Callithrix jacchus: one gene and its partner. The protein of the gene in region 1 interacts with the protein of each later gene in a pairwise test. Links are inferred from orthologs where the notes say so. Each region holds a gene or a part of one and is shown on either strand. Other genes may lie near its edges.

What was found. The genes of interacting proteins can lie anywhere in the genome.
Region 2: the proteins of AIRIM (region 1) and keratin, type I cytoskeletal 19 interact in binary tests that used the Homo sapiens proteins (3 or more experiments, as listed by UniProt). The two-hybrid records come from large-scale screens. The link is inferred for Callithrix jacchus from reciprocal best matches to the Homo sapiens genes AIRIM and KRT19.

The regions. Positions count from the first base shown.
Region 1 is NC_133508.1:74,246,625-74,250,369, reverse strand, and holds the start of AIRIM (AFG2-interacting ribosome maturation factor), read left to right. Parts: upstream 1-1,195; 5' UTR 1,196-1,451; intron 1,452-1,867; exon of another isoform or gene 1,868-1,998; intron 1,999-2,911; exon of another isoform or gene 2,912-3,017; 5' UTR 3,018-3,122; exon of another isoform or gene 3,123-3,239; intron 3,240-3,544; 5' UTR 3,545-3,745. Other genes in the region: CDCA8 (borealin), read right to left, coding at 411-539, 665-758. UniProt on the Homo sapiens protein: Part of the 55LCC heterohexameric ATPase complex which is chromatin-associated and promotes replisome proteostasis to maintain replication fork progression and genome stability.
Region 2 is NC_133506.1:91,728,271-91,732,015, reverse strand, and holds the start of keratin, type I cytoskeletal 19, read right to left. Parts: upstream 2,604-3,745; 5' UTR 2,544-2,603; coding exon 2,127-2,543; intron 1-2,126. UniProt on the Homo sapiens protein: Involved in the organization of myofibers. Together with KRT8, helps to link the contractile apparatus to dystrophin at the costameres of striated muscle.

The sequences.
Region 1 (3,745 bases):
AGACTGAGGCTCTGTCTAAAAAATAAATTAAAAAAAATACTATTTCCTGATGTGGAAAAATTATGTGAAATTCACATTTCAGTGTATCCGTAACTAAAATTTTATTGCAATACAGCCCATCCATGCCCATTCACTACAGCTGTTTTGGAACTGTATCACATATCACAGAGTTGAGTAGTCTGACAGAGACCCCCATCGACCCCCGCACCAGTGGACTAAAATATTTGCTAGCTAGACCTTTAGAGAAAAGCATGGAGAAAAATGAAGTAGGGAAGTGAGACAGAGAGTGAAGGGGAACAGTAGGTCTGCCATTTTCCATAAGTGCTCATGTCAGATCTCATTAAAAGGTGACATCCGAGCGAGCCCTTTCTGAAGGGTGTCACCTAACCCCAAGGGGCTGCAGCTCTTACCGAAGTAGTCGAGCCAGTTCATCTCGCGCAGCGCCTTGGGGAGTCGCAGGATCTCGATGTTGTACAGGTTATCCACCTCCTTGAGGAGGTTCTGCCTGTCTGACTCAATCTGCTTGATTCGTATTTCCACTGCGGGAGGGCAGAGCCGACGGGACACGGGTCACGGGGCGGGTGAATAGGTGCTGCTCGTGTCCCCACCCGCCAGCATCCCGCGACTGCCCCAGGAAGCCGCGACTGCCCGGCCCCTTCCTTACCTTCACGGTCGAAGTCTTTCAGAAAGGAGGCGAGCTTCCGCTTCCGTAAGGAGTTGGTTTTGGCCACCCGACTGCTGCCCTTCCTAGGAGCCATGGCGCTCGGCGGAGGCTGCGGGTAGCGGCAGAGATGGGGCAGGGAGGCAAGGAACCGGGTAGGCACGAGAAAGGCGGACAAATGCCACCCGAAGAAGTCGCCAGGCACGTACCTGCAGTCCCGAGACAAGGGCTGATCAAAACCTCCCGGTGCCTGTGAGAAAGCGGCTCTACCGCCAACCGCCACCCAATTCAAACTCCACGGCCACAGGCTGACGAATGAGAAGCCGCCGTCCCACAACATCCAATCACAAGCAAGTTCTTGCCGGCCCGGGGTCTCCAGCCCAATGCGCCCTCTACAGCCTGAGTACGTCAGCGCGGCCACCGCCGTCGCGAGTGCTCCTGGGAGTTGTGGTTCAAGATAGTTTCCCCGCCCTCTCCACGCCCACCCGGCTCCGCCCTGGCCAGCTGCAAACGATATTAACTACTATTCCCGGCAGGCCTTGCGACGGCACCTCGACACTGTAAGCTCTGGAGGGCTGAGGGCCGACCAGGACGACGGGGGCCCGCTTGGAAGCCGGGAATCCCAGCACTTTAGGAGGCTGCTTCTTTCTGGCCTGGTTGCAGCTGAGTAGCCGAGGGCCGCCGTGACCCACTGATTGACTGACTACTGACTGGCTGTCTGTCTACCTCTGCGCTCCTCAGGGCCCCAAGCACCCCAGGCCGAACTTCGGAAAAGTGGAGGGAACTTCGGGCAAGTGGAGGGTCGGCGGAGACACAGCAGCCCCACTCAGCAGTGTTTGGAAGGGGGCGGGGGGTGCAGGCTTTGGGGTGGGCGCGCCAGCCCGGCCAGTCTGGGCAGCGAGTGGGGGGAACCCTCTCGTTCCTCGGTCGCCCGCGGGCTGGACCCTCCTGCCCAGTTAACATCTCGGCGCCTCGACTGGGTGCGGAGTGCGGGGTCGCGACTTCAGGTGCAGTAGTGGCGCTTGGCAGCTGGCTGTCCGGTGACTGCAGTAGGAGCCGCGGCCGCTAGACTCCAGGGAGCCCAAGGCAGGAGGCAGCCCTGGGTGTCGAGGCCGTGGGCCTGGGAATGGACGTGTAGACGGCGAGCCCGGCCGAGCCGCGGTACAGTCGGAGGTGCTAACTGTGTATCTTGGCATCTGTCCACAGCCACAGGGTTGGATTGATCGGGGGTTGTGCTGAGGCCCAGCAAGGCTAGAGGCTAGTCTTGAAGTCTCCAGGGATCAGAGCGATAGCTCAGGCTGAGTCTCAAGGCGGGTGGCAGCCGGACAGCCAGACTGGTGAGCTCTTGATGGGTTTGTGGTATGATTGGATTTGGTGCTTTTCACCTGTGGATGCGGTCTGAAGCCATGTCAGAGGGGTTGTGTTTGTGTTTAAGTGTGCATTTTATAGACTGTAGGGGTGATAATCTTCCCTCTCCCCCTCTGAGTTCAGGAACAATCGAGGAAATAAGCAAAGGTGCCAAGCAGGCTCCTGATAGGCACCAGCGAGCTTGGAGACACAGCAGGTGGAACATAGGAGCCCTGGCAAGCCTGGCCCTTCCTCTTGCCAGGGAGAGTCCTTTCTCTCCCTTCCAGCCTGTCCTGTTGCTCCATATGCAACAAGTATTTGAATGTCACTCTTCCGCCCGAGGTCAGCCCTGGGCAGTGGGTGATGGGGGTGACACTCCAGTCTGCTGGGTGCCTGAGAATCTTCATCAGGCAGATGGCCAAGATGAGAGGGGATGACAACCGGTACCTCATGCAGGCTCCCCCCAGCAGGTGTTTTTATGCTGGGCAAGTCTGGCTTCCAGCCTCTTGGTTTCAGCGCTTCTCTCACTCCACTCCCCAATGCGCCCGACTTCCCTGGGCACCTAGGACATCACCCTGCATCTTAGCTAGAGCTGCCACGTCAGGAGCCCCTGATTCACTAGTTTTTGCCAGTTGGCTGTGCCACAAACATTGTGAAATGTGTCATTAAGACATAGCCGGAGGCGCAAGCTTAGAGGAAGTGACTCTTAGCTAATAGGATGTGGTAACACCGCCACTAATTTAAACTGCTGCAGGCTGACAAATGAGAAGTTGCCGTGTTGGGACGGCTGCAACATCCCAAGGAAACTTCAAGCCAAGTGGCCAATCCACATGTGGGACTACAGTACCCAGAAGTCATTGTGGCAACACGATATATTTTCGCGACGCAGTAGCCCTGCAGGCTAGAGGAGCTTTGGGAGATGTTCGTGTTTGAGCACATGCAGACAGACTACGGGTGCGTGTGCAGGTCTGGAGTGTTCTCACACTTTGGCTGTCTCTGCTGGTTTCAGGAAGGCAACCGGCAGCCTCGGGCAGGGGAGACTGGCCTCTGGGTTAGAGAATAGACGGCGCTTGGATGCTGGGAATCCTCTGAAGTAGGAGAGTGCCCTATCCAGGTAACCCTTCCCGAGGGAAAGCCAGGATCTCCTTCACAAAGCTGAGGCAGGGCCTGACGCGGTGGCTCAATCCTGTAATCCCAGCACTTTGGGAGGCCGAGGCGGGCGGTTCAGGAGTTCAAGACCAGTCTGGCCACCATGGCGAAATCTCGTCTCTACTAAAAATACAAAAATTAGCTGGGCATGGTGGCAGGCACCTGTATTTATTTATTTGTTTGTTTGTTTGTTTATTTATTTATTTTGAGATGGAGTTTCGCTCGTTACCCAGGCTGGAGTGCAATGGCGCGATCTCGGCTCACTGCAACCTCCGCCTCCTGGGTTCAGGCAATTCTCCTGCCTCAGCCTCCCAAGTAGCTAGGATTACAGGCACGTACCACCATGCCCAGCTAATTTTTTTTTTTTTTTTTTTTTTGTATCTTTAGTAGAGACAGGGTTTCACCATTTTGACCAGGATGGTCTTGATCGGTTGACCTCGTGATCCACCCGCCTCGGCCTCCCAAAGTGCTGGGATTACAGGCGTGAGCTACTGTGCCCGGCCGGCAGGCACCTGTAATCCCAGCTACTCTGAAGGCTGAGGCAGGAGAATCGCTTGAACTTGGAAGGTGGAGGTTGCAGTGAGCCGA
Region 2 (3,745 bases), on another chromosome or scaffold:
TAGTCTCAAACTCCTGAGCTCAGACAATCCACCTGCCTCAGCCTCTCAAAATGCTATGATTACAGTCATGAGCCACTGCGCCTGGCTGATTGTACAGCTTTTAAGGCAACGTAACAGGCTATAAAATATCAGAGGGGATTTCCCCTAGTATGGAGAGAGTTGTTTCACCCATTTGTGTGTGTGTGCACATGCACAAACACACACAGGTGAGAAAAAGAATGTGTGAGGGTGCCTAGTAAAATGTACTTATTGTCTGTCATAATTTTTTTTTTTTTTTTTTTTTGGAGACAGAGCCTCACTCTGTTGCCCAGGCTGGAGTGGCACTGATCACATATGGCTCACTGCAAGGCACATGCCACCATGCCCAGCTAATTCTTTTTTTTTTTTTTTTTTTTTGAGACAGAATCTTACTCTGTCACCCAGACTGAAGTGCAATGGCGCAATCTCGGCTCACTGCAGCCTCCACCTCCTGGGTTCCAGCGATTCTCCTGCCTCAGTCTCCCTGGTAGCTGGGATTACAGGCGCCTGCCGCCATGCCTGGGTTTTTTGTTTTTGTTTTTGAGACAGAGTCTTGCTCTGTCACCAGACTGGAGTGCAGTGGCACAATCTTGGCTCACTGAGCCTCTGCCTCTCGGGTTCCAGTGATTCTCCTGTTGTGGGTAGCTGAGATTACGGGGACACGCCACCACGCCAAGCTAATTTTTGGGTTTTGTTTGTTTGTTTGTTTGTTTGTTTTGAGACGGAGTTTCGCTCTTGTTACCCAGGCTGGAGTGCAATGGCGCGAACTCGGCTCACCGCAACCTCTACCTCTTGGGTTCAGGCAATTCTCCTGCCTCAGCCTCCCGAGTAGCTGGGATTACAGGTACGTGCCACCATGCCCAGCTAATTTTTTTATATTTTTAGTAGAGACAGGGTTTCACCATGTTGACCGGGATGGTCTCGACCTCTTTACCTCGTGATCCACCCGCCTCGGCCTCCCAAAGTGCTGGGATTACAGGCGTGAGCCACTGCGCCCGGCCCTAATTTTTGTATTTGTATTAAAGACAGGGTTTCATCGTGTTGGCCAAGCTGGTCTCAAACTCCTGGGCTCAAGCAATCCTCCCACCTTGGCCTCCCAAAGTCCTGAGGTTACAGGTGTGAGCAACAGCGCCCACCCCTGTAGCTCACAGTTGTACAAGTGTGTAAAGCACTGTTTTTGTTCGTTGTTGACATCTCTAGCTCTTCCTCCTGGTCTGTGGGTCTGAGTTATGCCACGAGTACAGCACTGGAAAATATTTTGGGAATCTGTGTTGGGAGACCCAGCGTGTGAGGCTGTAAATGTCCCATAGCTTCTGATAAATGTCTTCACGACCCAATAAATTTCTCCTTCTCTGTGGGTGGAGACCAAGCCCTATACCCTACAGGCCCCTTCCAGTTTCCCTTTAAGAGCCTGTGACGCAGATCCGTTCTTTCCCCGACAGGGAGCTGCCTCTGTACCGGGTCCTCCCCAGCAGAGATTTACCCAGCATCCCTCCTTTACCCCGCGCAGGGGCCACAGCCGGATCTCCCATTCTTCCCAGAGGAATGGGCCCCAGGGCGTGAGAGTGGGAGGAGGCCAAAGCCTCGGCGCGAGGGACACCAGACCCTTGCGGCCAGCGAAACGGAATGCAAGAGGCCCCACGCTGCAGTCGGAGGGGCAGGACTGGCCCCGGGTGGACCAGATCACCAAAGCCAAACTCTCCCATCTTCCTGCGGCAGCGCGGCCCCTGGCCTAGACCTCTGGGCACTCTACAGCCGGGTCCCATCTCCTCCCACTCTTCGGACCTCCGTGTTCCCAGGCCTCGCCAACCCTCGCGCCTTCTCTCTCCTGGCTCTCCAACCTCGCCCCCTGCCCCGCAGCCTCCAGAAGCCCCACCCACTTACCTGCCCCGCCCAATTCCCTCCCCTTGCCACCACCCCCGCCACCGCATCCCGCCCCGAGGTCCTGCTTCCCCACCCCGCCTCCTGCCCCCCTTTTCTCGGCCCCACCTGCGGGCCCTCCCACGTCCTAACGGGCTCCCGCCCGCCGCCCTGCCTGGGACCTCGCCCGGCCCGCGGGGCTGGGTTTCCGCGGCAGGTGCACTTAGCGCGGCCAGGCCTCCGCCCACCTGGTCCCGCAGGTCCTGGATGGTCTTGTAGTAGTGGCTGTAGTCGCGGGAGGGCCCGGGCCCCTGCTTCTGGTACCAGTCGCGGATCTTCACCTCCAGCTCGCCGTTGGCCGCCTCCAGGGCGCGCACCTTGTCCAGGTAGGAGGCCAGGCGGTCGTTGAGGTTCTGCATGGTGAGCTTCTCGTTGCCCGCCAGCAGCCCGTCGGAAGTAGCCAGGATGCCGCCATAGCCGCCGCCGTAGCCCCCCGAGGAGGACGAGGACACGAAGCGAGTGGAGGACACGGACACGCCGCGGCCGCCGGAGCCCCCGTGTATGCTAGGTGCGCGAAAGGCGACACCCGGCCCAAAACGCACGGAGCCGCCGCCCAGGCCCCCGAAGGACGACGTGGACGACTGGCGATAGCTGTAGGAAGTCATGGCGAGGCGGAGCACGGACCGAGCGACCCTGGTCCCAGAGGCTGTGATCACCGGAGGCGCGGCGAGGCCCTCACCGGGCGCCTTTTATGCCGGGGGCCAGGAAGTGGGGCGGGGAATGGGGGGAAGGGAAGAATGGTGTTAGGGGTGGATATCTGAGCCCTGAGGAATTTGCAGGCTCCTGAGAGCAAATACGGGCGCTCTACCCATTGGTCAATTCCTGGCGGCTCTGCCCGCAACCCTCTCCTCCCAGAGACCAGAGGCCCCTGCCATCCAGAGCTGCCCCACCCCAATCCTCGCAGAAGCTCCCACCCACACTCAACCACTCCAGTTCTGCAGACCCTCTTCCAGGCTTTCCCCCAACAGGGACGTACTTAGACACCCACGTTCTGACCCTCACCCTTTAAGAGCACCCAGAGTTTGACACCCATTGGGAATTACGGTCCCTCTGGGGTCATATTCCTACACACCCTGGCACAGTGATTTTGGTTTGGTTTGGGTTTTTTTGTTTGTTTGTTTTTTGGAGACGGAGTCTCTGTCCCCCAGGCAGGAGTGCAGTGGTGTGACCTCAGCACACTGCAGCCTCCGCCTACCCGATTCAAGCAATTCTTATGCCTCAGCCTCTGAAGTAGCTGGGATTACAGGCACCCACCACCATGCCCTGCTAATTTTCGTATTTTTAGTAGAGATGTCATTTCACCATGTTGACCAGGGTGGTCTTGAACTCCTGGCCTCAAGTGATCCACCGGCCTCAGCCCCCCAAAGTACTGGGATTACAGGTGTGAGCTACCACACCCAACCCCAATGATTAACCATTCAGAATGCTCCCTCCAGAATACTGTTAGGAGCCCCTTGCTTGCGATCCTAACCAGCCCACCCTCCACAAAGTGTGTTCACAGATTCCCGCACTCCACTGGAAAGTACCACCCGCTTTTTGGGAACACCCATGTCCAACTCCCCTTTAGTCCCCTTTGGCAAAGGCCCACCGTTTCCGGATGAGGGCACTTTGAGCTGCAGGAACCCAGCCCTCCCAAGACAAAGCTGCCTCACCCTGCTGTGACTATTCAGTGCCCCAAGGTGACAATAGGCTCCCGAGAACAGCTGCAGGGAGCGGTTCTGGCAGCCTGCACCTTTGCAACACCAAGCTCAAGCCTGACTATCACATGGGGGCTAACCCCCATTCTGGAACTCTCAAAGCCCACTCG